Ovis aries: one gene and its partners. The protein of the gene in region 5 interacts with the protein of the main gene of each other region in a pairwise test. Links are inferred from orthologs where the notes say so. Each region holds a gene or a part of one and is shown on either strand. Other genes may lie near its edges.

Region 1 (4,274 bases), on a different chromosome or scaffold from region 5:
GGTTACTAAAGTATTTGTGTCCTAATGCTTCAAATGCTATTAAATGCTGGCAGAAAACTAGGGGGGAAAGTACATTTTTGCATGGTATAAACCAGAATTAGAAATTTATACATAAATTTGAAGTTATTTGTTCTATTATTCAAGTGCTAGATCTTTATTGCTTCTACTTAATCTGTAATTAAGTTAGATAAATATGTTAATAGCTGCCACTACTATTGTATGCCTGTCAATTTCTACCTATAACTTCCCACCAAAATAACTTCTCATTTTTTAAAATTGTAAAGGCAGAGCATACCTATAAAAGCTGTCAGAAAATTAATACATTTATTTTAAAAAAGGGACAATTATTCATAATTTCAGTACCAAGTAATAACCACCATTAACATACTGGTGTATAGTGTTTCAGGGTTCTTTTTACACATTCACCATCTTTAAAGACAGGTTACACATACTAACTGCTTAGAAATAGTTTTAAAATAAAATATACTTGCTGTATTTTTTGGTATTGAGACATAATGATTGTATAATTTCTAACTGTACAGAAATATAAAAATAAAGCTGACAGTGAAAATACTATGTACTTTCCCTATTTCATGTACACTTTGTATCATACAAATAACCACCTATATTTTAAACAGTGCATATTTGTATGGTAATGTAATATATCTGACCAATCTGTGTAAAGATATACTGATTATCTTTTAAAATAATTTTTTGAATACTGTAGTGCATGTACATTTTTTACATATGTATTTTTGCATCCTTATCCAATTATTTTCATAGGTGAGGTCTCTGAGGCACTTCCAAATAAAGGTGGAAATATTTAAAATATTGATATATATGTTAAAATTGCCTTATAACAACCTACACTTCAAAATTAACATTGGAGGACATTTTCTCAGTTCTCTCTCTCCTGAAGATAAGGCTTATTATTATTTTTCATCTTTTCCAATATAAGACAGAAGAAGAATCTCATTGTTTTAATTTGAATTTCTTTGGTTGCCAGTGAGCTTAATCATTCTTTCATATGCCCATTGGCCATTTGCATTTCTTTTGTAAAATGCAGGTTCCTGCCCAGTCCTCTTCCCTTCTAAGGGTGGTGTTCACCTTTCCCTTTTTGCTTTGTTAGTGCTCTTTATTATTAATTGGGGTCGGTTCGATTCAGGCTTTCACCTGTTCACTTTACTGCCTAATGGAATATATATATGTATATATATTTTTTTCTATTAGCTTTTAATGTCCTTTATAGAAGCTTCCTCTCTTTCTTTCCCTCTCTTTTCGCTTGTCTGCTGTTGTCCTTTCGTTTCTTTCTATCTGTTTATCTCTCTGATTTTCTTTTTTGACTACATAAGTTTTTAATTTTGACCAAGTTGCATCTATGATTCTGGGCCTGGCGCCGCCTCAGTAGGGGGAGCAGCGGGGAGGAGAGCGCGGAGCTGGGGGAGGGGAAGGGGCGGGGAGGAGCGGGCGGAGCAGTTGCAGAAGCTGCTGGGAGAGCGCGCGGTGGGATCACACGGCGGCCCGGCGGCGGCGGCGGTGGCGGCGGCGGCGGCGGCGGCGGCGGCGACGGCGGCGGCGGCGGCGGCGGCCCAGAGACCGGAGCGCCGATACCGCGGCCCGCGGCCTACACGGAGCCTTCTTTTCACCGGAGGACCAGTGATCCGCAGTCTTCAACACAGAGGTACTGTGCTCCGCGCTCCCCGCCCGGTCCGGCCCAACCTGCTGTGGCAGTGCCTCCTTCTTTCCTCTCTCTCGCCTGCCGGCGCCTTCCCTGACTGCCTGCGTCACCGCGGCCGCCATGGCTGAGAATGGCGAGAGCAGCGGCCCCCCGCGCCCCTCCCGCGGCTCTGCTGCGGCCCAAGGCCCAGCCTCTACCCAGGCCGAGCCCAAAATCATCAAAGTCACTGTGAAGACCCCCAAAGAGAAAGAGGAGTTCGCAGTGCCCGAGAACAGCTCAGTCCAGCAGTTTAAGGAAGCGATTTCGAAACGCTTCAAATCCCAAACGGATCAGTTAGTGCTGATTTTTGCCGGAAAAATCTTAAAAGATCAGGATACCTTGATCCAACATGGCATCCATGATGGACTGACTGTTCACCTTGTCATCAAAAGCCAGAACCGACCTCAGGGCCAGTCCACACAGCCTAGTAATGCCGCGGGAACTAACACTACCACCGCGTCGACTCCCAGGAGTAACTCCACACCTATTTCCACAAATAGCAACCCGTTTGGGTTGGGGAGTCTTGGAGGACTTGCAGGCCTTAGCAGCCTCGGCTTGAGCTCGACTAACTTCTCTGAGCTCCAGAACCAAATGCAGCAGCAGCTCTTGTCCAGCCCTGAGATGATGATCCAAATCATGGAAAATCCCTTTGTTCAGAGCATGCTTTCGAATCCTGATCTGATGAGGCAGCTCATTATGGCCAATCCACAGATGCAGCAATTAATTCAAAGAAACCCAGAAATCAGTCACCTGCTAAACAACCCAGATATAATGAGGCAGACCCTCGAAATTGCCAGGAATCCAGCTATGATGCAGGAAATGATGAGAAATCAAGACCTGGCTCTCAGCAATCTTGAAAGCATCCCAGGTGGCTACAATGCTTTACGGCGCATGTACACTGACATTCAAGAACCCATGCTGAATGCCGCACAAGAGCAGTTTGGGGGTAACCCATTTGCCTCGGTGGGGAGCAGTTCCTCCTCTGGGGAAGGTACACAACCTTCCCGCACAGAAAATCGTGATCCACTACCCAATCCATGGGCGCCACCACCGGCTACCCAGAGTTCTGCGACCACTAGCACAACAACTAGCAGTGGCAGTGGATCTGGCAGTAGCTCCAGCAGTGCTACCGGAAACACAGTGGCTGCAGCCAATTATGTCGCCAGTATCTTCAGCACCCCAGGAATGCAGAGCTTGCTGCAACAGATAACCGAAAACCCCCAGCTGATCCAGAATATGCTGTCTGCACCATATATGAGAAGCATGATGCAGTCTCTGAGCCAGAATCCAGATTTGGCTGCACAGATGATGCTGAATAGCCCTGTGTTTACTACAAATCCTCAGCTGCAGGAGCAGATGCGTCCACAGCTCCCTACTTTCCTACAGCAGATGCAGAATCCAGAGACGCTATCAGCCATGTCAAACCCAAGAGCAATGCAGGCTTTAATGCAGATCCAGCAGGGGCTACAGACATTAGCCACTGAAGCTCCTGGCCTCATTCCAAGCTTCACTCCAGGTGTGGGGGTGGGGGTGCTGGGAACCGCGATAGGCCCTGTAGGCCCAGTCACACCCATAGGCCCCATTGGCCCCATAGTCCCGTTTACTCCCATAGGCCCCATTGGGCCCATAGGACCCACTGGCCCAGCAGGTCCCCCTGGCTCCACTGGCACAGGCGCCCCCCCTGGGCCTACTGTGTCTAGCGCTGCACCCAGTGAAACCACGAGCCCAATATCGGAATCTGGACCCAACCAGCAGTTCATTCAGCAAATGGTGCAGGCTCTGGCTGGTGCAAATCCTCCGCAGCTGCCAAATCCAGAAGTCAGATTTCAACAACAACTGGAACAGCTCAACGCAATGGGCTTCTTAAACCGGGAAGCAAACTTGCAGGCTCTAATAGCAACAGGAGGCGACATCAATGCAGCCATTGAGAGGCTGCTGGGCTCCCAGCCATCGTAATTACATTTCTGTACCTTGAAAAAATGTATCTTATTTTTGATAATGGCTCTTAAATCTTTAAACACACACAAAATTGTGCTTTACTTTCAGTTTGATTTTTTTCAACTCTGTCTAGTTATAAATTTAATATGCATTTTAAGGTGGAGTCCTTTCCTCCCTCTTTGTTTCCTCCCTCCTTCCCTCTCTCCTTCCTTCCCTCCCTTCCTCTGTTTTGAATGGTGAGAATCAATGCTGTTTTACTCAAAGGTGTTGCATGCAAACACTTCTTTATTCTGCATTTATTGTGATTTTTGGAAACAAATCAACCTTTACAGTTGGGTGAACAAGTTTTGTCCTACAGATGTCCAATTTATTTGCATTTTAAACATTAGCCTATGATAGTAATTTAATGTAGAATGAGAATATTAAAAACAGAAACAGATTAACTGAAACTCTATAATTTGTGGTACAATATTGCTTATTGTGATTTTGGCATGTATTTTTGCTAGCAAAATGCTGTAAGATTTATACTATTTGATCTTTTTTGATATATTTGTACACAGTACAGTAAGCACAATTGGAACTGTACATCTCGATAAATTGCAGCAGAATCTCTGAGCAG
Region 2 (4,300 bases), on a different chromosome or scaffold from region 5:
AATGTAAGCTTCTCAGCATAGGTACTTTTTTTTTCCCTCAATAGTCTGCTATCCTCAGCAGAGCATACTTTAGGTGTGGTAGGGGAGGGAAAATAATTTTCTCTCTGCTTTTCTGAGTTGGTTGAAATCCTTATAAAATAAGAGTGACAAGAGAAAAACAGAAATGTATTAACGTATCCATCACATGTACACAGGAGCTAACCAGGGAAAAGGCTTAGAATGCCAACCTAAATACCATTTTCCGGTAAAGACAAAAGAGGAAAGATGTTGTGGGGGTGCGAGGGGAGGGTGGAGACCACTTATGGAGGTGACTAGGGGAAGAAAAACAAGCTTAAAAGTCTGTTACACAGTTTAAGCCAGTGTCTTCTCCATTGATGAGTCTCTAGTGATGTATTAAGAGTGTAGCAGAGGACACCTCTGCTAGGTACAGAGTGGGAGACACTTTTATAAATGTACGATTCCCTTACGGAAGGTTAACCTCTAGTTGGTTTTCAGGGCTTCTCTGTGTCTCTTTCTCAGAATAATCCTTATGCCAATGAAGCATATTTTGGGGTGGCATATTCTACTACCCTCCAGCATTTAGGAGTAATCTGAGGAAGAACCAATCTCCATTTTATAAATAATGAGCAAAAACTGAGACATTAGGGAACCTGTCTGAGATCACTGAGGCAGCATTTAGCAAACCTGGGATTCCAATCCAGATCTCCCTCCCAGACACCGTATTGCATTTTCTCTTTTTTCTTTCCCTGTTTTGTTTTTTTTTTTCCCCCAGTCGTGGTTGCTCTTTGTGCCATAGATGGCATCCAGAATACAGAGGCAGCTGCTGTCTCCAACATTCCTGAAATGGGAATCACGGAGAAATGGATTCCATTTATGACTCGACCACCGATAGCGAGACACTGGCTAACTTTTTAACTCCTGGAACTCAGTTACCCTCAGCTGTAAAACTGGTTTCTATATCAACCACTTTCGTTAAGGTCCTTTAACTCAAGAACTTTAAAAATCCTAAGATCCGGGTGAAGCGGTGGGATTCATGAGTTTCTCAGGCAGCCTCATGTCCTGCGGCCTGGAACCATCTACGGGCCCAAACATTGCTCTCCGAGAGCCTAGGCAGCTGCCGCCTCCCATTCCAAGCTAAGAATGGGAGGAGCTGTGTCATACGGGCAGCGTCGTCCTCCGCCTACTCCTAGAAAAAGACAAGGAAACACCGGCTTCTCCGCCGGCTCCCGAACGCTCCAGATCAGCGCCCCGGGATCAGCGTCGAAGCCGTCTCCTTCCCCTCGCCTTTAGGCTTTGCGCCTGCAGGAATCCACGCCATCTCCACCAATAGCCGATTCCTACGGAAACCCGCGTCCTCTCGGCTAGCGCCGAAGCCCCGGAAGTGACGTGCGCGCGTGCGTGCGTGGCGTGCGTTCGCGGCGCCGGGGGCGGGGCTGCGAGAGGGAGGGCCGGCGTGAGGGCGGGTTGTGGACGAATACCGGCCACCTCGTCTAGCGACGCGCGGAGAGCGGCTGACCTGACGTCGGTGGAGCCGCAGGCGAGGTACGGGGCAGACGGGTTGGGGGCGAGGGCGGCGCGGTTCTTGGCGAGGGCGGGTGCTGGGTCATTGGTCTGGGCTGTCCACCTGGCTGGGGCCATCTCGCTCCGGTGTCTCTTGCCGTCCTCCGTCTCAGCCCCGGGGCCGGCGGCGCGGCCCTGGGCGGTCCCAGTAGTCGTCGGCCCCCTTCATCCTCTGCTTTGCTCGGACTGCCCGTTTCGGGCGCTCGTCGCCAAGTTCTCTGCGGCCCGGCCCAACTCCGACGGGCAGACGCGCGTCTGGCTCCTGGCCGCCTTCTGCCACCGTCCACCCCTCGCGGGATGGCTGCCCTCCGGCCGGCTCCCTCCTCACTGTCCAGTTGCCGGAGTACCGAGGGACACCTGTGGTGGTTCCCGGGTGGGTCGTGCCCTGGGCCCCTGGGGGACCCCGTCGCAGCCCGGCCTGTCAGGGGCGCCAGGTACTTAAGGGAGCCTCGTCGGTATTGGAGAGGGAAAGGTCCCGGAGCTGGGAGAATGCTTCCAGCGCGGGGACTGAAGACTAGTCCTAACTTTGGCCCTGTGGTTGAGGGCGAAGTTGTGGGCCTGGGTTTTTAGGAGAAGTCCCTGCTTCCAAACTGTCTGGGAGGAGATGCCCATCACGGAAGTTTAGTTGGCAGGGGGGAAGAGAGTAGGTCAGAGCCTGCTGGTGATGTCTCAGCGCCAGTGACCAAGCCCTGTGGTTGGGAAATGTGTCAGTGGGCGCCGGGCCTCGCCTAGCCGTGAGATTGATTAGGTGTCAGGAACATTTGTTAGAATGAGTTTACAGCATCACCTGGGAGGTAGTTTTTTGGATCTGGAGAGTTTTGTGTTTTGTGTGTAAAAATAGTCGTACCTTTTTTTTTTTTTTCCTGTAAATCTAGAACGGCAAAACAAACTCAAAAAAGTCTATTAAAGTTACTAATTAAAATAGTTGTACCAAGAAAGCTTTCCAGAGATGCCCGAAGATTTTGATTTAATCCATTTAATGATAACGATAATTTTAAGAGTTACTGGTTCTTAGGTGGAAGATTAAGAAGTGTTCAGGATTTGAACATTTATGGACCTCCCCAGCAATCATTTTCTTCTCTCTAGAAGTTAGCTACTTCAGGAGAGGGGGACAGCGGAGATACAGTGTGGTGAGCAGAGTGAGCTAAGAGTAGGGGCGGGGTGGGGTGGGGACCACACCCCAGGTGCCCCGAAGGACTGCGGGGTGTGGAGGGAGGTACCTGGGAATATTTCCGGAAATGTCCTGAAGAATGAGTACTATTCAGACTGACGAGGTGGGGTGAGAATTTTAGGGGTCTTGGGAATGTGGGGGTGGGGCAGCTAAAGGAGGAGAGGAGAGTAACTCCCCAGGAGGTGGTTTTTTAAAAGGGAAAAAGTGCAGAGAGAGGGACAGAGATGCTGGAGTTTCTTGGGCCTTTTCTCTGACGGTGACAGAACCAGGGAAGGATTTTGAGGCGGGTTATTTTATTTGCCTGGTTAACTTGGAATTTTTATGTCCGTCTTACAGGCAGATCAGGAACGTGCTTGATTCTGCGCTAGCTTGTATTTTGAGTGTTTGAATGGAATTGTCTGTTCATTTACTAATTGTTTGAGTGCGTCTGACCTTGCTTATCCGTACACTTCCATAAACAGGAATTCTGCTTTTATCTCTTTGCATCTCAATTCAAGTCAGGCATTCACCGAGTGTTCCTGGAGGACTTGAGACATCATGGATTTCTGATGTTGATTTTCAGTGAAAAAAAAAATAATCCGTATTTATTTAGATAGCTACAAATAGAAGAACTAAGATCTTGTTTTTATTTACTTTTGTCAGTCTTTGGCTAGAAACAGAATTTCTGTCTTGACAATGCAAGTTTTACTTTTGGCACATGTGTTTATATTGGTTGCAAAGTAGACATCTCCAGCAGAGATGACCCATGCCTAAAATATTGGAGATGTCTGTGTAACATACTTGTCTGTTCTGTGACTTAGAATAGAAATGCTATTAAGTGGCTTCTTAACCCAGCGCTGACCCTAAAAAAAAGTTTCACAACAGAGGCCAGGCATTTTGAAAGTCATATTAAATGTTCATTTTTGTCCTAAAGAATTGTGGAAACATTATATATATTGTTTGTTTGACTGAAATGCCTTGAAATAATCTAAAGTGTTGTTGAGTAAACACTTAGGAAAAACAATAATAGTTGACTCATCTTTTTCCCACGTACCATTATGCAGCTCTTATTTTATCTGTTTGTTATTTGGATAAAGCTCCTAACATGCCTTAAGAAAATGCTGTACTTTATGCTGCTGCTTTCAAGTTACCCCATGAGATTCCTGTTGTTGCTAAAGTTACTGTTGGTGGGATAGGAAGCGTAATTTTTATTATGTAGTAAAACATTTTTTTTCATCTCTGGTAGCATGGCTCACTTGTTTACGGTCACTAGGTGGGTGAAGGACTATAATTATGCTCAGTTCATTAGATACATTTATAGTTAGAAGTTATGATCAGAATGCTAAGTGTGAGTGCATGATAGAATAAAATTTTACCCACTAAGAGTGTCTTAAGCTTTTTGTTTTCTTCAAATGACGGCAATGAGATTTCTGAAATCCCTGAAGCAAGAATGTAGCAAGAGCATTTATGGCTCTAAATTCCATGCTGTTTCACACTGGTTGGCAGCATCCCCTGTGCTAGGCAGAGGGCAGCTCGGAAGGAGCCAGATAGAAATTTTATAAATAATTTTTGAAGCTAGCTGGTTCAGTT
Region 3 (3,500 bases), on a different chromosome or scaffold from region 5:
ATAACCATCAGTGTGTGGAACCACAAGAAGGTTCACAAGAAGCAGGGAGCCGGCTTCCTGGGGTGTGTGCGGCTGCTCTCCAATGCCGTCAGCAGATTAAAAGACACTGGCTGTAAGAGCCCAATGCTTTTCTGCCTCTTAATGCACTGAGGAAGGCTTATGAGCCATCATTTTGTTTATTATTATTTTTGAATACTGAATACAGAATTCCCGCCCTCCTCCCTAGTTACCATTCCCCAGGTTAAGTTTTGAATTGTTTGTTTGCAGACCAGCGTTTGGATCTGTGCAAACTAAACCCCTCAGATACTGATGCAGTTCGTGGCCAAATAGTGGGTAAGAACTTTCTCATCTCTAAAGAGATAACTTTTACAGAACTTAACATCCAGCTCTTCATCACTGAGAAAACACACAAAGCCACTGACCCATGGTGACATACGCGAAGGACAAGCCGCATTTGGGGGCCATCTCTCCAGTACTAGAAACTTTCATCTTGTGTGGTTTTTGTTACTTTATCCGATTCCCTTCATTTAGTCGTTCTAGGTGGAGTTAAAGTGACTAAGGTACACAAAGATGTAGGGTTGTAATTTTTGATGTAATTTTAGTCCTCACATTTGTCCCGCTACCCAAGCGCAGATGGTAAACGTGGTGGCCGCGCATGCACGAGCTGAGACAGCTCCACAGGAAGACCGGTCCACATGTAGGAGGCAGCGGGATTTCTGAAGACTTCTGTGTCCTATGATTTTACAGAAGATTGACTGACTTAGAATGAAGGCGCGAAACATGCTGATGCTCCGAAATGTTGACTAGACATACTCTGCTGGAAGTTAATTTGCTGGTTAAGCAGTTCATCCTGTTATCCACACATTTCAGAGTAACTCAGATATTGACCCTGCATTGCAGGGAATCAAAAAAAAAAAACAGAAACCACCCCATAGTATTTCAGTGGCACACAGAATGACTTGTCTTGTGTAGAACTTGTTGTTCAGTTGCTGAGTGGCGTCTGACTGCAACTTCAAGGACTACAGCACGCCAGGCTTCCTTGTCCTTCACTATCTTCCAGAGTTTGCTCAAACTCATGTCTGTTAGGTCAGTGATGCCATCCAACCATCTCATCCTCTGTTGCCCCCTCTCCTCTTGTCCTCAATCTTTCCTAGCATCAGGGTCTTTTCCAATGAGTCAGCTATGTAGATCTGACCCAGGATAAATGAACAGTGAGTATCCATCCTGCAGACTCTCCTGATGACAGAGTTCTCACTCTCTGCTTGTTTGTGATGTCTCCTTTTCTTTGTGGAGGGATGTGCAGGGCAAAACCAGTGTCTGGAAGCAACTTCATCAGTGTCTTTGTTGATTGTATTAGGGATGGAGAGTAGATACACAGATGCATGTAGACTGTGCAAAGAGTGCTCTCTGTGTCCTTATCCAGCACAAGTTGGAATCTTTAAAAAACAAAATAACTTGGAAAAAGTGAATATTGTGTTATTTTTATGAAGATCGTGGAAAACACAGCACCTCCTTCTGTTCCACGTTCACGAGGAAGGGTCCGGGTGGTGTGTGGCGTGTGGAGCCCCTGAGTGAAATGTCTCATACTTGAAAGCACAGGCATGTGTAACGTGAGTGCGGAGACAGACGCCTCCCTTTAAGAATCATCTCGTATATGAATGATGCATTTCTAGTGGCTCACTGTATTGCAGCCGTGTAGAGTATCCCTGGATTTTAATGCGAGTGTCCTTTCCTTTCAGTCAGCCTACAGACACGAGACAGGACCGGCACCGGCGGCTCTGTGGTGGACTGCAGGGGCCTGCTGGAGAGTGACGGGTGCGTGCCCCGGCCGCCGGCGCTCGCGCTGCCGGAGGGCGCCCCTCACACCTTGTCACTGCCTTGAGTGCCTGAGGTGCAGGGAGGGACTTCGGGGTGCAGCTGCGACCCAGTTGCCTTGTCTGTAAAGGAAGCTGTCAAGACGAGTAGGCTTGTGCCCCAAAGACTCAGGGTCCAGTTTACAGAGGTTCCCACTGGCCTGAGAGCATTGGCCAAGAATGATAACTGCAGCACATCACACCAATCCGTGGAGTTCATGGCGATACAGAAAGAAATGTTATAAAAACCAAACCCCCAAAGCTGTCAGGAGCTCTCGTTGGTCACTACCATGATTTTCCGATCCCCGATGAATTAACTCTTAATGCCGTTAATAGTTGTGGACACCATCAGGAAAGAACCTGGCGTGAACACAGGTCTTGGGGGCCCCAGGGGTGGGAATGGGCTGCCCAGCCCCAGGGGACTATAGCAAACCCCATCCAAAAGTGGGGCTCCCTGTAGACTGGAGCAGACCTAAGCCAGTGTCCTCGGCAAATACGCTGCAAGGAGAAGAAGGGAATAAAAAGGAAGGAAGAGAACCTGCAAATTTAATAAACAGGATTTAAGAGACCCACCTACTAGATGCAGTGTGTGGATCTATTTGGACCCTGATTAATGAGATAGTGGACTGTTGAGATTTGAATATAGACTGGCATTATGACGACCCATTTTTGGGATCATGCTAATGGTAAAAGGCCTGTCTTTCAGAGCTATGTGCCGAAATAGCTAAGGATGAGATGGTAAAATGTGGGGATTGTTTTCCGAATAATCCAGTGGAGGGGGAGGAGCTGGACATGCGGCCACGGGGTGGTATCGGAGGTGGTGAAGACTGCAGGGCGCTCACTGAGCTAGTCCCTCTCTGTGTTTCTCTGAAATTTTCCAGTGTAAAATGTTTTTCAAAAGTACTTGCTTAAAAGGGAAAATAGCCTATTAAGGTAAATTGTCTTCACAGTTGTTCAGGGGATGAGGATTTATGTTAAAAGTCACTTTTAAAGTCATTGTAATATTTGATGTAACCAGGAGTTCTATTATAAAATGACAAGGCAAATGTAATGTTTGAATTTGATTCCAAGTCAAGAAAGTTGAAATCTCCTTTTCTGAACTTCTTACATTCAAGGTTGGTGTTTTCCAACCATTCAGCTATCCCCAAGTTTGAAATCCTACCTTGGCCTCAGTGGCATTTAACACATGGCTTCCTTAGGCCACTGATTCTTCGTGAACAAGTTCGGCTTCCCAGTGAAAAAGGACAGGATGAATTTTATGAAGCTAAGCCCGGGGGACATTCTGTATTGTCTAAGAGAAGCAGAATAAACAGGCGTGAGAGTGTGGCGGGAACTGGGGGCGCGTCCCCGGCTTCGGCGGGTGTGGTCACGTGGGCTGTGCTCTCCCCCTTCCAGAACCGTGTATGAAGACTCCGGGCCTGGAAGGCCCCTCAGCTGCTTCATGGAGGAGCCAGCCCCGTACACGGATGGCCCCGGGGCTGCGGCCGGCGGGGGCAACTGCAGGTTTGTGGAATCCCCGAGTCAAGACCAAAGACTTCAGGCCCAGCGACTGCGAAACCCTGAGGTGCGAGGGTCGCTCCAGACGCCACAGAACCGGCCTCACGGCCACCAGTCGCCGGAGCTGCCCGAAGGCTACGGTGAGGGTGC
Region 4 (4,160 bases), about 170 Mb from region 5:
AAAATCTACTGTATTTCGTATGTTGATGTGTATTTTCTTTCTGGTACAGTTCCATAGGTATTTTATACTAGAAAGGGAATTCCCACACAGTGATCATATATTTTATAATCTTTTTTAAACAAATGCCATGCAATATGTAGTGTCAACAATAGAAACATTTTAAAGTATGGATCCTGCCCTACAGGCAAAAGTTACTTAATTTAGAAGGTACAAATTCAGGACAACCAGAATGAGTAACACCTTGGAGGGAAGTTAGGTAGAGAAGGATAAATAATACAAGATGTGTTACCTTGCTGGTTCCTCCTTGAAAATAGGTTGGTTGCCAGATACATGCACTTAGTCTTATCCTTCTCCAGACACATTGTTTAGAGAAACCATGCCACAAAAGAGAGAGAGACTGGAACTATGTCTTGGAAGTGTTACTAAATCAAACTTGGGTCTGCAACAAAGCCAATCTACTGACATGCGGTTGTGTTAAGATAAAGTACAGCATTTATTGCAGGGCACCAAATAAAGAGAACAGGCAGCTTGTGCTTGAACAGACAGCATTACCAAGTCCGAGCTGGTTCTACTCACTGACCAATAAGATGGCAAACTAATGTCTCAAAATAACCATCCTATCTGGGTCTGGATGCCAGGTTCTTTTACAGAATGAGTGGGGTGGAGGGGGTGGGGTGAGGAAGAGAAGTAAAAAGCCCCTTCTTCTTGCAAGTATCTCCTAGAATGGCAAGTCTGGGGAAGGTATGTGTCAATTTCTTCCTTCCTGTAGCCATCCACAGGTGAGCAGGGTCCTGAACAAAGGTCCTGATTTAACAGTCAGGCAGAGGGGCAAGGTTCCCTGAGGCAGGCCATCATGTATAAACAGTACAGAAGGGTACTACAGAAAGGTAGGCTGAGGAGTACAGAGGGAAGAATTTTCAAGTTACCGCTCGGGTCTCAGTTTGTTTTGAGGTTTCCCTTTTTCTGCCCAGAGTCCAATCTTGCGACACTGCCCGGTTTCCGCCGTCCCCGGGAGCAGAACCACGCGAGAAAATTAGAGCCACAACGACCCGAGGGGGGCGGTGGCTCACCGGTAAAAGAACCCGCCAATGCAGGAGCCGCAGGAGACAGGGGTTCCATTCCAGGTTTGGGAAGATCACCTGGAAAAGGGCATGACAACCCGCTCCATTATTCTTGCCTCAAGAATCCCAAGGACAGAGGAATCTTTCGGGCCATAGACGATAGTGACGCAGAGTCCAAAAGGACTGGACCGACTTAGCAAGCAAGCACACACGCCTAGCAAGGGGAGGGGCGGGCTCTCTCCCGGCCGGGGGGGCGGGGCCAGCAGGGCAGGCAGTGCGCGCGCAGGCCCGGAAGTCCCGTCTGCGGAATGTTAGCTGTCTGTATCCTTTGTCGGTTTTGTATGGTGGGAGGGGCTGTTTTGGCGGGCAGTCGTGACGCCACTAGCCCTTGCGGGATTCTAAGGCGCCGCCGCTAAGATTAGGCTTTCTGGCTGACTTTAGAGAGGACAAGGGGTGGGCTCAGAATCCGAGTAAGGCGCGAACGCGGACCCGCAGCAGCGGTGAAACGGAAGTCCTGCTCCAACGGAGCCCGCGTCCGGGGGGAGCTGCAGTCTTCCTCGAGCGATGGCCCGAGGGCTGTGCGCCTCGGCGGCCTCCGTCTTGGCTGCCAGGAGCTAAGGGCGCGTTCTCACCTGGTAAGTGGGAGGAGGGGAACTTGGCGCGTGAGCTGGAGCCCACTTTCCGCCCTGCTGCAATGATTGTTAATGCCTGGGAGCAGCCAAGATTCATTTGTTTTCTTTCCGGATGTTTATCTTAAACATGGACAAATACACCGCCTTCCAGGGTCGTACTGTTTACCTGACCTGTAGAACACCATTTTTACTTCTAGACATTTGATGCTTTCAGTCTCTGAATTATGGCAGACTACTGGGCATAATATTTAAAACGCAAAACTGTTACTTTGCTTTTTTCTTATTCGGACCGGAAACAAGATTCTTTCTCTTTCAGGTATTGATGTTGAATATGCCTTATTAGCATATTAAAATGGCTGTACGCAAAGACTCCATCCCTTCCTTGTTAGAATGTCAATGCCAAATCTGTGTGGAAATCCTCTTTGAGCCTGTGACACTGCCTTGTAACCACACGCTCTGTAAACCATGTTTCGAATCGACTGTCGAAAAGGCAAGTTTGTGCTGTCCCTTCTGTCGCCGCCGGGTCTCTTCGTGGGCTCGGTACCGTACCCGAACAAATTCTCTTGTTAATATGGAACTGTGGGAGACAATTCAAAAACACTATCCAAAGGAATGCAAGCTAAGAGCCTCTGGGCAAGAATCAAAGGAAATTGGTGAGTAAAACCCAGCGCGTTTGTTGTCTAAAAACCAAGGTCATTTTGAAAGCCAACGGCCACTAATCCATTTTTTAAAGGATGAAACAGAGAGCCAGTTAGTATTTGTCTAAAATTTTCAGAGGTATTTGGGGTTTTTTGGCCTCAAAATGTTGATTAAGGTCAATGGCAAGATTTTGTTCATTGCCCAGCCTGTGTTCACTTGGTGTTTGTTCGATTAAAAATGAAAAGAAAAACCCAAAACAAAAGAATTGCCCGATAGTCTTCAGTCGGTGTGAAAAGTTATATAAATAGTCTCAGAGGAGCCACAATCGCAGTATAGCAACAGCAGAAGTAAGGATTCTTGTGTTAATGTCTTTTTCACTTTCAATTATTTTCTCTAACTTGCTTGCCTATATATTGCCATTCATTTAATTCTTAAGCTTGCAGGGAGCCTAAAACAGCTTTCTGTGGCTATCTAGTTCAGCCGTTTTTATTCAAAGGTCCTCCACAGTGTGGACTCTTCTTTATGCCCCAAACTGAACACTTTATGTGCTCAATAAGTCATGCGATGTTTTTTGTTTAGGCTTTGAATGCAATGCTTAATACTTACCTTTTTTTGAAATTCTTTTTACTTATTGTCAGTTCAGTTCAGTTCAGTTCAGTCCCTCAGTCATGTCTGACTCTTTGTGACTCCAGGGCCTGCAGCACAACCAGGCTTCCCTGTCCCATCATCAATTCCTGAAGCTTGCTCAAATTCATGTCCGTTGAGCTGGTGATGCCATCCAACCATCTCATCCTCTGTTGATCCCCTTCTCCTCCTGTCCTCAATCTTGCCCAGCATCAGGGTCTTTTCCAGTTAGTCAGTTCTTCCCACCAGGTGGCCAAAGTATTGGAGTTTCAGCTTCAGCATCAGTCCTTCCAGTGAATATCCAGGACTGATTTCCGTTAGGATGTACAGGTTCAATCTCCTTGCAGTCCAAGGGACTCTCAAGAGCCTTCTCCAGCACTACAGTTCAAAAACATCAATTCTTTGGCACTCAGCTTTCTTTATAGTCCAACTTTCACTTCCATACCTGACTACTGAAAAACCATAGCTTTGACTCTACAGACCTTTATTGGCAAAGTAATGTCTATGCTTTTTAATATGCTATCCAACTTGGTCTTAGCTTTTCTTAGTTTGCCATTTTTATCATTTTTAAGTGGACGCAGTAGTGTTAATTACATTCACAGTGTTTTGCAACCATCACCACTATGTTTCCAAAACTTTTTCATCACTTAGCAGCAGACAGACTCTAACCATTAAGCTATGACTCCCACTCTTCCCCACCCCCTTTCCAGAGTTCTCTGTGAATTTGCTTGTTTTTTTAATTTCTGTGAAGCCCCAGTAAAACACACACACCATCTGTTTAGCAGAATTAAACATCATAGACATCATTTACCACAGAATTAGCTCATAAAATGTTCCCATAAACCCCAAAAGATACCAGGACAAATCACCAAAATCAGATCTCCGTGGTATAAGCAAGAAGGAAGCATCTGGGCTGTTTGATGGATCTGAGAACAAAAGAACTTCAGAATAAGCAATAGGTATTCATTGGGAAGGGCTTCCCAGGTGCCTGGGCAGTAAAGAATCCACCTGCTGGATACAGGATGCTTGGGGCTGGTGCACTGGGATGACCCAGAGGGATGATATGGGGAGGGAGATGGGAGGGGGATTCAGGATGGGGAACATGTGTACACCCGTGGTGGATTCATGTTGATGTATGGCAAAACCAATACAATATTATAAAGTAATTAGCCTCCAATTAAAATAAATAAATTTAAAGTTAAAA
Region 5 (4,260 bases):
TTGCCTGGAAAATCCCAGGGACAAAGGAGCCTGGAGGGCTGCCGTCTATGGGGTCGCACAGAGTCGGACAAAACTGACGCGACTTAGCAGCAGCAGCAGCAGCAGTGCCCTCTAGAAACCTGTCCTGGGGGTGGCAGGAGACCTCACTGTTTACATATCTTCCTAGGTGGATTCTGGGCTCCATCAAGAATAAGCCAGATTTCCTTAGTGCCTAATATAGAGTCTAGTGGGGAAAAAAAAAAAAAAAGTAAATGAAGAATGAAAAAAAGACAGTCAAGACCCTCTTTTCCCCTCGTTGAATGAATATTAGAGCATTCTCATCTTTCTTATTTCCTCCCTCTACATACATTGCCTCTTGAACTCTTTGTTATTTCGGTTAAGAAGAAAGGCTATTCTGCCTCAGGCAATGTGCCAGGTCTTTGTACAGAGGAGGGGCAGATTCAGCTTGATCTGGCTGTGATAGAGACTCACAGGGACTCAGGAACTGAGTGCTCAGGGACTATGAGCACAGAGGAGGTAACTAACCCAGACAGGAGGGTTAGAGGACAGGCTTCCCAGTGGAATCAAAGTTGAGTCCAAGAAGGACAAGTGTGGATATAGTTTGATGGAAGGTATAAGCTCAGGAGTGGGGAGAAGTGAGTTTATGTCAGAGAAACATCATAGGTAAAGACCTCAGCCAGAGGGAATAGTCTTCTAGATAACTGAAAACTATTCAGACATCCTAAAGATTAGAATATGTGAGGGAACAAGGCCACAAATGAGACTGGGGAGGTAGCCAGATTTGTAAACCATTTAAGAATTAATACTTCAGTCATAACAGTATTGGGAAGTTTTTAATGAATGTTTTAAAAGGCTTAAATTCCTCCTACAGGAATGACCTGATCAGATTTACATTTTAAAAAGATAACTGTACAAATAGTAAATTGAATGGGGGCAATGGCGAACGCAGGGGAAATAGTTCAAAGTATTACAGCAGAGAAATGACGGTAGCTTGTACTATGGTGGTAAGAATAGAAATAAATAGAATAATCGGTTGAAGAATTCTTCTGACTGTGATGTAGGAGGATTGCAAAGTGACTGGGGAGGTAGTGAGTTTGGACTTTATTCTGAAGGGATAGAATATTTTAATATTTTAGTCATGGGAGTAATCCATTCAGATATGGGTTTTAAAATGGATTACTTGGCAGAAGGTGGCCAGAAGACTGTCAAAACAACGCACAGTTAAGAGCTGAGACAAGCGAAGAGGGAGCAGAGCGCGTGGGGAGGAACCGAAGACCCAAAAGAGGTATCGGAATCGCGTCCCAGGCTGTCAGAGAAGCAGAAACTGACGCAGCCCCAGAAACAGCTGCTGGGGACGGGGGAGGGGCAGGGGGGTGGCAAAGGAGCAGGGAGCACAGCCGGAGCTACCCACGCCTCCCAGCGCCGGGGGCGGGACCAGGGCACGCACGGCGGCGTGACGCAGGGCCGCAGCTGGCCTCGTTCTGGCCGCCGCCGCCGCTGCGAAGCGGAGTAGGATGAGGCCCGCGGCTGCGGCTCCGGCGTCGGCGGGGCCAGCAGTAGCAGCTGAGGCAGCAGCTGAGGGAGCCGCGACGGCTGCGCCCCCCCACTCCTGACCTGGATTAGGCCCAGCAGCTCCGTGGCCGCCGCCGCCCCGCGGGGGGGCGGGGTGGGGAAGTGCTTCGTCTCCCCGCCCCCCCCCCCCACTGCCGCCGCCTCAGGAGGCAACCGCCGCGACCCCGGGAAACCCGCGGCCCAGCCTTAAGCCCCCAGCCCCAGGGACTGGCATGAGCTGCCCTTCGGCGGCGCCGGGGGCCGGGGGAGCCGCTGCCGCCTGAACCCCGGCCTGCCGCCCGACCCCACCTCGCTGACCGAGGCTGACCGCGGAGCGTGCGAACGACCCCGCCACTGCTTTCTTCCTCCCCCAGATCACACACCCCAGCTCCAGAAGATGGGGAACTGCCTCAAGTCCCCCACTTCGGATGACATCTCCCTGCTTCACGAGTCTCAGTCCGACCGGGCCAGCTTTGGCGAGGGGACGGAGCCGGATCAGGAGCCGCCGCCGCCATATCAGGTAGGGGAGGGTGTGTGTTGGGGAAGGGGGGTGCGAGGAGTAGAGGCGGCTCTGGCGGAGATTGTGGGGGCTTCGGGGCTGTCTGTCACTGTCCCTGGCCTCGGCAACACCCGGCCTGAGAGGCACTGGACCCCCTTAGGGCTGGGTTTAAGTGTGATTGATCCCATCGTCAGTGTAGGGGGAATCCTTCACCTCCCTTCGAGCAGTGTGGGGATACTTCTGTCCTTGAGTTCTGGGATTCGAGTGTGTGACTATATCCCCTTGGCCAGTGACTGGTGGCTAGATTGTGGAGTTCGGAAGTGATATTTTCATGCCTTTATATGTGCATTGTGAGGTTCGAAGGTGATTTCCTCATCACCGGCTGGATTATGGGTTCTGGATAAGTGGTTAACCTCCCCCCACTACCCCACCCCACCACACATACATCCCATTTATACTTTAAAGTGTGATCCTCCTCTCCTCCCTCTCGTCTGTCTGTATTCATTGAATTTAGTAGGCGTTCATTTCTTCCTGTGCTTGGGAGATTTTCAAGTAGTGATTTTGGTTCCAGCAACATGGAGTTGCTTCTTTACATATATATGTATACATATTTATGTGTGTGTGTGTGTTTATACTAATTGTAGGAGTCAGCTTAGCGACTGAACAGCAACAACAGTATTAATTCTGAACCCCTCCTCTTTTTGCTCCACCCCTGTGACACACCTTTTAAACGCGCTGATTTAGAGAACTTGATTATCTTGAACTTTGGAAACCTTTAAACCTTACTTGAGAAATACCTTCTGTTACTCATGGTTTCTCCGTGTGTATCAAAGACTTGTCTTCTAAATGACTTCACTGCTTTTTGTGCAGCAGTCAGCAGCTCCAGATGTCTTTACACGATTTGTAAAGAGCTGAAGCCCTCTTTAGAAAACTCAAAATAGATAGGTAGATGTTATAATCCATAATATATATATAAACCTTTCCTCTACTATTTCAAGATGTTGATTAAAAACTTTACCAGAAGGACTTGGATAGTTAAGTGGCTTAATTTTTTTTCCTGATTGGGGTTTAATTTTCTAACTGGGCAGTCTCCTTTGTTGTTTCATGTGGTGACATCATTATCTAGTGTTATTCTTTTCTCATTCCTATGTTAATCAGTGTCTCACCACACCAGAAAAACCTGATCACAAATGCTGGTTTTCTGAATAAAACCCATCAGGGGCCTTTCATATATGCTGGTAAAGTCCAGTCTTTTCATGTGGCTTACAGAAGACTCCATGATTTATCCCTCACATTCATATTCCAGGCCTGTCAAACACAACAGCTTATTCACACCTCTCTGCCTTAGTTCCAATTGCTCTCTCTGGAACCCTTCCCCCAAGGTCAGCAGGTGAGCGTGTAATCCTCTTTGAGGACTCAGCTGAGCTGTATCTGAAGTTCCTAAATTCCCCTCCCTTTCGCCCTGAATCAATCACTCCCTTCTTTGTGTCTCCCCTGAAGGAAGTGTCTGCACTTTCAAAAGCAACGCATATAACACTTATATGTTGTCCTTGTTAAGTTAGATGTGTGTCTCATTCTTGAGGCATTTCCCTCCTTCTCCAGTATAAGCTGAATGCAGGTAGGAACTCTGTTTCCTGTTTGTTGTATCCTCAACATCTGGCTTCATAGTAGTTGCTCAGTAACTGGAATAAGGGAAAACTCTAAGCCCTTGAGAACAGGGACTACCCGCCAGTGCTTAGTGCAGTTTCTGGCTCATGAACACTTAAATGTTGAGTGAATTAATGAATTTAAATGGAGTATTGTTATGTAAGTTTACACACCCATTTCTTCCAAAGAATTGTCACAGGAGAAGTCTCTTTAAAAATCCAAACCAAATCTAAGTGCTTTCCTGAGTCTTTGAAGCAAGTAAATTGTTTCACTCTTACTTTCCTTCAAATTTCACTCTTGATTTCCTTCATAAATGTTTATAGGACAATGTGCTTATTTCCATTTCATGAAAAAAATTTTTTAGAGGTACGAGTTTTTATTTCAGAATCTCCTATATTCCTTAGTCCTCTTATAAGCAAGTAAAATACCTTCAACTTATTGTACTCTTTCTCTTAAATACATGTATATCTTATACATTGTTAAGAATAACTTCTTTAGAATTTATGGAGATTGTATTCAATATTTGCCTTTTCCAGGAGGATAAGATAATAAAGAGAGGGTTT
Region 6 (2,551 bases), on a different chromosome or scaffold from region 5:
TGCAGTTCCCCATTTCCCCTGTAGCCCTGTCCCCTCCTCTAACCCCTTCACGGTTGAGGGACACAGCGGGGCCTTTGAGGACCCTGTTGTGTGTGGCCAGCTGGCATCGTGGTTGAGTCACAGTATGGGATCTCTCAATACCCCTGTGGCTGTTAGAGCTCTGACCCGTGCCCTGTGCTGATTGCCCTGCTCTCCTTTCTTGACAGTTTCAACCGGCTGGACCTGCCGCCATACAAGAGCTACGAACAGCTGAAGGAGAAACTGCTGTACGCTGTTGAGGAGACCGAGGGCTTTGGACAGGAGTAACTGAGGCTGTCCCCCACCCCCAACCCCCAGCACATGTGTAGTCTTGAGTCCTCCTTGCCCGAGAGGCCGCTGGCCCTGTAGCCCCCGGGAGGCCCCTACGGATGGTCGTCCCGTGTAGGACCACACTGTCATCAGGCTGGTGGCAGCAGAGCCTGACCTCAAGAGGCCCTGCCCTGCCTTTTGCTCTTCCCCACTGGTGGCAGTCTGGAATAAAGCCCCCATGTCGCCCTTGGCCCCATCAGCCATTGCAAAGTCTAGAGGGCTGACCTTCTCTGGAAAACTCATCCTTCTCCCTTGAGACCAACCCTAGGTTTGTGTGAATGTGCAAGGGAGGGTGCCCTGTGCTGAAGCCCTGGGCCTCACAGGCTGGTTAGGTGAGAGGGAGACTGGCCATTTGGGGTAGCTGTTCTGGGCTGAGGAAGCCCAGGGTCTTTGTCAGTAAAAGAGGTTCTATTTTGTATAGAACTTTTCCAGTGATCTATATAAATGAAGGTCTGAGGGAGGGGAGCTCTGGACCAAGGTCAGCTCTTGTTCCTGGCTAGCCAGCTCCAGCCAAGGAGGCTGAGCAGCACGGCCGTGCTCCACTCAGTGCTGGCCAGTGTGTCCCCGCCAGCAGGCAGAGGGTCGTTACCAGCTGCTGGGATGTCAGGGGATGGAAACGCCCTCAGATTTTCCTCTCCCTTTTACATAAACTTGAAGTATTCTGTGCATAGGGCCGCTTTGTGTTCTGTGGTTGGTAAGCTGCTGTCACTTCCTGTCAAGGAGCTGGTGCGCCAGGCATGGCTGGGACCCAGAGGCACACAGCACCGTTGGTCCAGGAATTTCCCAAACGGCTGCTCCTCTTAGGAGCCTGCTTCACAGTTCTGTGAGCTCGGGCAGGCCTGACCCAGTGGCTCAGCTTCCCAGCAGCCTTATCCCCGAGCCTTTGACAGAGAAGGGGGGAAGGGGATTATTGTCCTGAGTGTCACCCCAACCTCGCTGCCTCCAAGAGAGGAGAACTCCCTTTGCTAGATGGAGTGATGGGGTGCGTGGGGCTGACCTGCTAAGACCCTGGACCTCCAGGCGGCTCGTGCATCCGGATGGAAAATGAAGAGCGTTCCTGCTACTGTAGAGTGTGTTCACTCTGCCTCGAAGTGTGGCTTTACCTGCACAAAAGAGACGATGCTCTTGGAAACCAGCAGAAGGGCCCTGAGCTGCTCTGCAGTCTGACTTGATTGCTGGAGCTCCTGCCGACCTCTGCCGTGGGCGTCCTGCCACGTGTTCAGATCTTTCAGGCGAACACACTCCTCTGGGATGCTGGAGTGGTGATTGTCGCTGGGTCCCCGTGCAGGTCCTCAGGCTACCCACGGCGTTGTCTGAGGACAGGCTCGTGCTCCCAGGTCCTCGTCCTCCCCTCTCCACCCTGGCCCGTGTCTGCTCTGTTGTGTGTACTGATGTGAGCGGCTCAGCTCACTGCAGCCCAACCTCCTCCTTCCCTCGGATCGTTGGCTGTGCTTCCCTGCGGTGTCTCACCGTGTTGGGGATTGGGGCACAAGCCACCATGCCATGCAGGGTTTGGGAGCCTCAGGTTCATGGGCGTGCAGAGTGCGTTCACGTGGGTGTGTGTGTACATACGTGTATATAACTGAGGTGTCTGTACGGAATGCCCTTTGGTAGCTCTGAGCTGGTCACCAGATTGTTTTGTAATGCCCACCCCCTTGCCCTTGGTATTGCCAGTTTCTTGTGCAATAAACAATCAGCAGCTGTGGGCAGTGTTGGCGTGGATGTGTCCAAAGTCACTGTCCTCCAGGCAAAAGGTCTCTGGGCCCCACGGACCTTCCAGGTCTACACGAATGGAAATGTTATGACCTTGCTGGTTTTGAGAAGTGTGTGTCATTAACCGAGGCAGCCACACTTCTGATGGGTGGCCCAGTCTTCATCTAAGGATCATGGGCTTCAGCCCTCATTTATTTGCCTCACGGCTACCTTTGGCCTGGGTTTCTCTGAGCAGTTGCCATGGCACCAGTGCATCAACAGCCCGAGGCTGCAAGTTGAACAGGTTTTAGGAACCAGCTCCTGGGTAGCCATTCATCTGAGAAACGTTTCCTGTTTTCTTGAATTCCGTGATGATAGAGGGATACCCTGGACTTGAGCTCATGGTCAGCCAGGGGCTTGCCGCCCACTTTTTTGAACTTAAAGGTTCTGATGGGATCCATCAGCGCAGTCTCGATGCCTTTGACATGGAAGTGATTTTGTCCTGGATCAA

Evidence for each region.
Region 1: the proteins of RNF11 (region 5) and UBQLN2 interact in binary tests that used the Homo sapiens proteins (3 or more experiments, as listed by UniProt). The link is inferred for Ovis aries from reciprocal best matches to the Homo sapiens genes RNF11 and UBQLN2.
Region 2: the proteins of RNF11 (region 5) and RABGEF1 interact in binary tests that used the Homo sapiens proteins (3 or more experiments, as listed by UniProt). The link is inferred for Ovis aries from reciprocal best matches to the Homo sapiens genes RNF11 and RABGEF1.
Region 3: the proteins of RNF11 (region 5) and SMURF1 interact in binary tests that used the Homo sapiens proteins (3 or more experiments, as listed by UniProt). The link is inferred for Ovis aries from reciprocal best matches to the Homo sapiens genes RNF11 and SMURF1.
Region 4: the proteins of RNF11 (region 5) and RNF168 interact in binary tests that used the Homo sapiens proteins (3 or more experiments, as listed by UniProt). The link is inferred for Ovis aries from reciprocal best matches to the Homo sapiens genes RNF11 and RNF168.
Region 6: the proteins of RNF11 (region 5) and WWP2 interact in binary tests that used the Homo sapiens proteins (3 or more experiments, as listed by UniProt). The link is inferred for Ovis aries from reciprocal best matches to the Homo sapiens genes RNF11 and WWP2.

Annotation. Positions count from the first base shown.
Region 1 is NC_056080.1:49,146,004-49,150,277, reverse strand, and holds the start of UBQLN2 (ubiquilin-2), read left to right. Parts: upstream 1-1,474; 5' UTR 1,475-1,798; coding exon 1,799-3,673; 3' UTR 3,674-4,274. UniProt on the Homo sapiens protein: Plays an important role in the regulation of different protein degradation mechanisms and pathways including ubiquitin-proteasome system (UPS), autophagy and the endoplasmic reticulum-associated protein degradation (ERAD) pathway.
Region 2 is NC_056077.1:28,693,183-28,697,482, forward strand, and holds the start of RABGEF1 (rab5 GDP/GTP exchange factor), read left to right. Parts: upstream 1-1,500; 5' UTR 1,501-1,857; coding exon 1,858-1,994; intron 1,995-4,300. UniProt on the Homo sapiens protein: Rab effector protein acting as linker between gamma-adaptin, RAB4A or RAB5A. Involved in endocytic membrane fusion and membrane trafficking of recycling endosomes. Stimulates nucleotide exchange on RAB5A. Can act as a ubiquitin ligase.
Region 3 is NC_056077.1:37,673,586-37,677,085, forward strand, and holds part of SMURF1 (E3 ubiquitin-protein ligase SMURF1), read left to right. Parts: coding exon 1-112; intron 113-267; coding exon 268-333; intron 334-1,739; coding exon 1,740-1,815; intron 1,816-3,248; coding exon 3,249-3,496; intron 3,497-3,500. UniProt on the Homo sapiens protein: E3 ubiquitin-protein ligase that acts as a negative regulator of BMP signaling pathway. Mediates ubiquitination and degradation of SMAD1 and SMAD5, 2 receptor-regulated SMADs specific for the BMP pathway.
Region 4 is NC_056054.1:191,860,600-191,864,759, reverse strand, and holds the start of RNF168 (E3 ubiquitin-protein ligase RNF168), read left to right. Parts: upstream 1-1,360; 5' UTR 1,361-1,696; intron 1,697-2,009; 5' UTR 2,010-2,045; coding exon 2,046-2,346; intron 2,347-4,160. UniProt on the Homo sapiens protein: E3 ubiquitin-protein ligase required for accumulation of repair proteins to sites of DNA damage. Acts with UBE2N/UBC13 to amplify the RNF8-dependent histone ubiquitination.
Region 5 is NC_056054.1:25,684,247-25,688,506, forward strand, and holds the start of RNF11 (RING finger protein 11), read left to right. Parts: upstream 1-1,460; 5' UTR 1,461-1,948; coding exon 1,949-2,071; intron 2,072-4,260. UniProt on the Homo sapiens protein: Essential component of a ubiquitin-editing protein complex, comprising also TNFAIP3, ITCH and TAX1BP1, that ensures the transient nature of inflammatory signaling pathways. Promotes the association of TNFAIP3 to RIPK1 after TNF stimulation.
Region 6 is NC_056067.1:36,523,214-36,525,764, forward strand, and holds the end of WWP2 (NEDD4-like E3 ubiquitin-protein ligase WWP2), read left to right. Parts: intron 1-206; coding exon 207-306; 3' UTR 307-2,051; downstream 2,052-2,551. UniProt on the Homo sapiens protein: E3 ubiquitin-protein ligase which accepts ubiquitin from an E2 ubiquitin-conjugating enzyme in the form of a thioester and then directly transfers the ubiquitin to targeted substrates.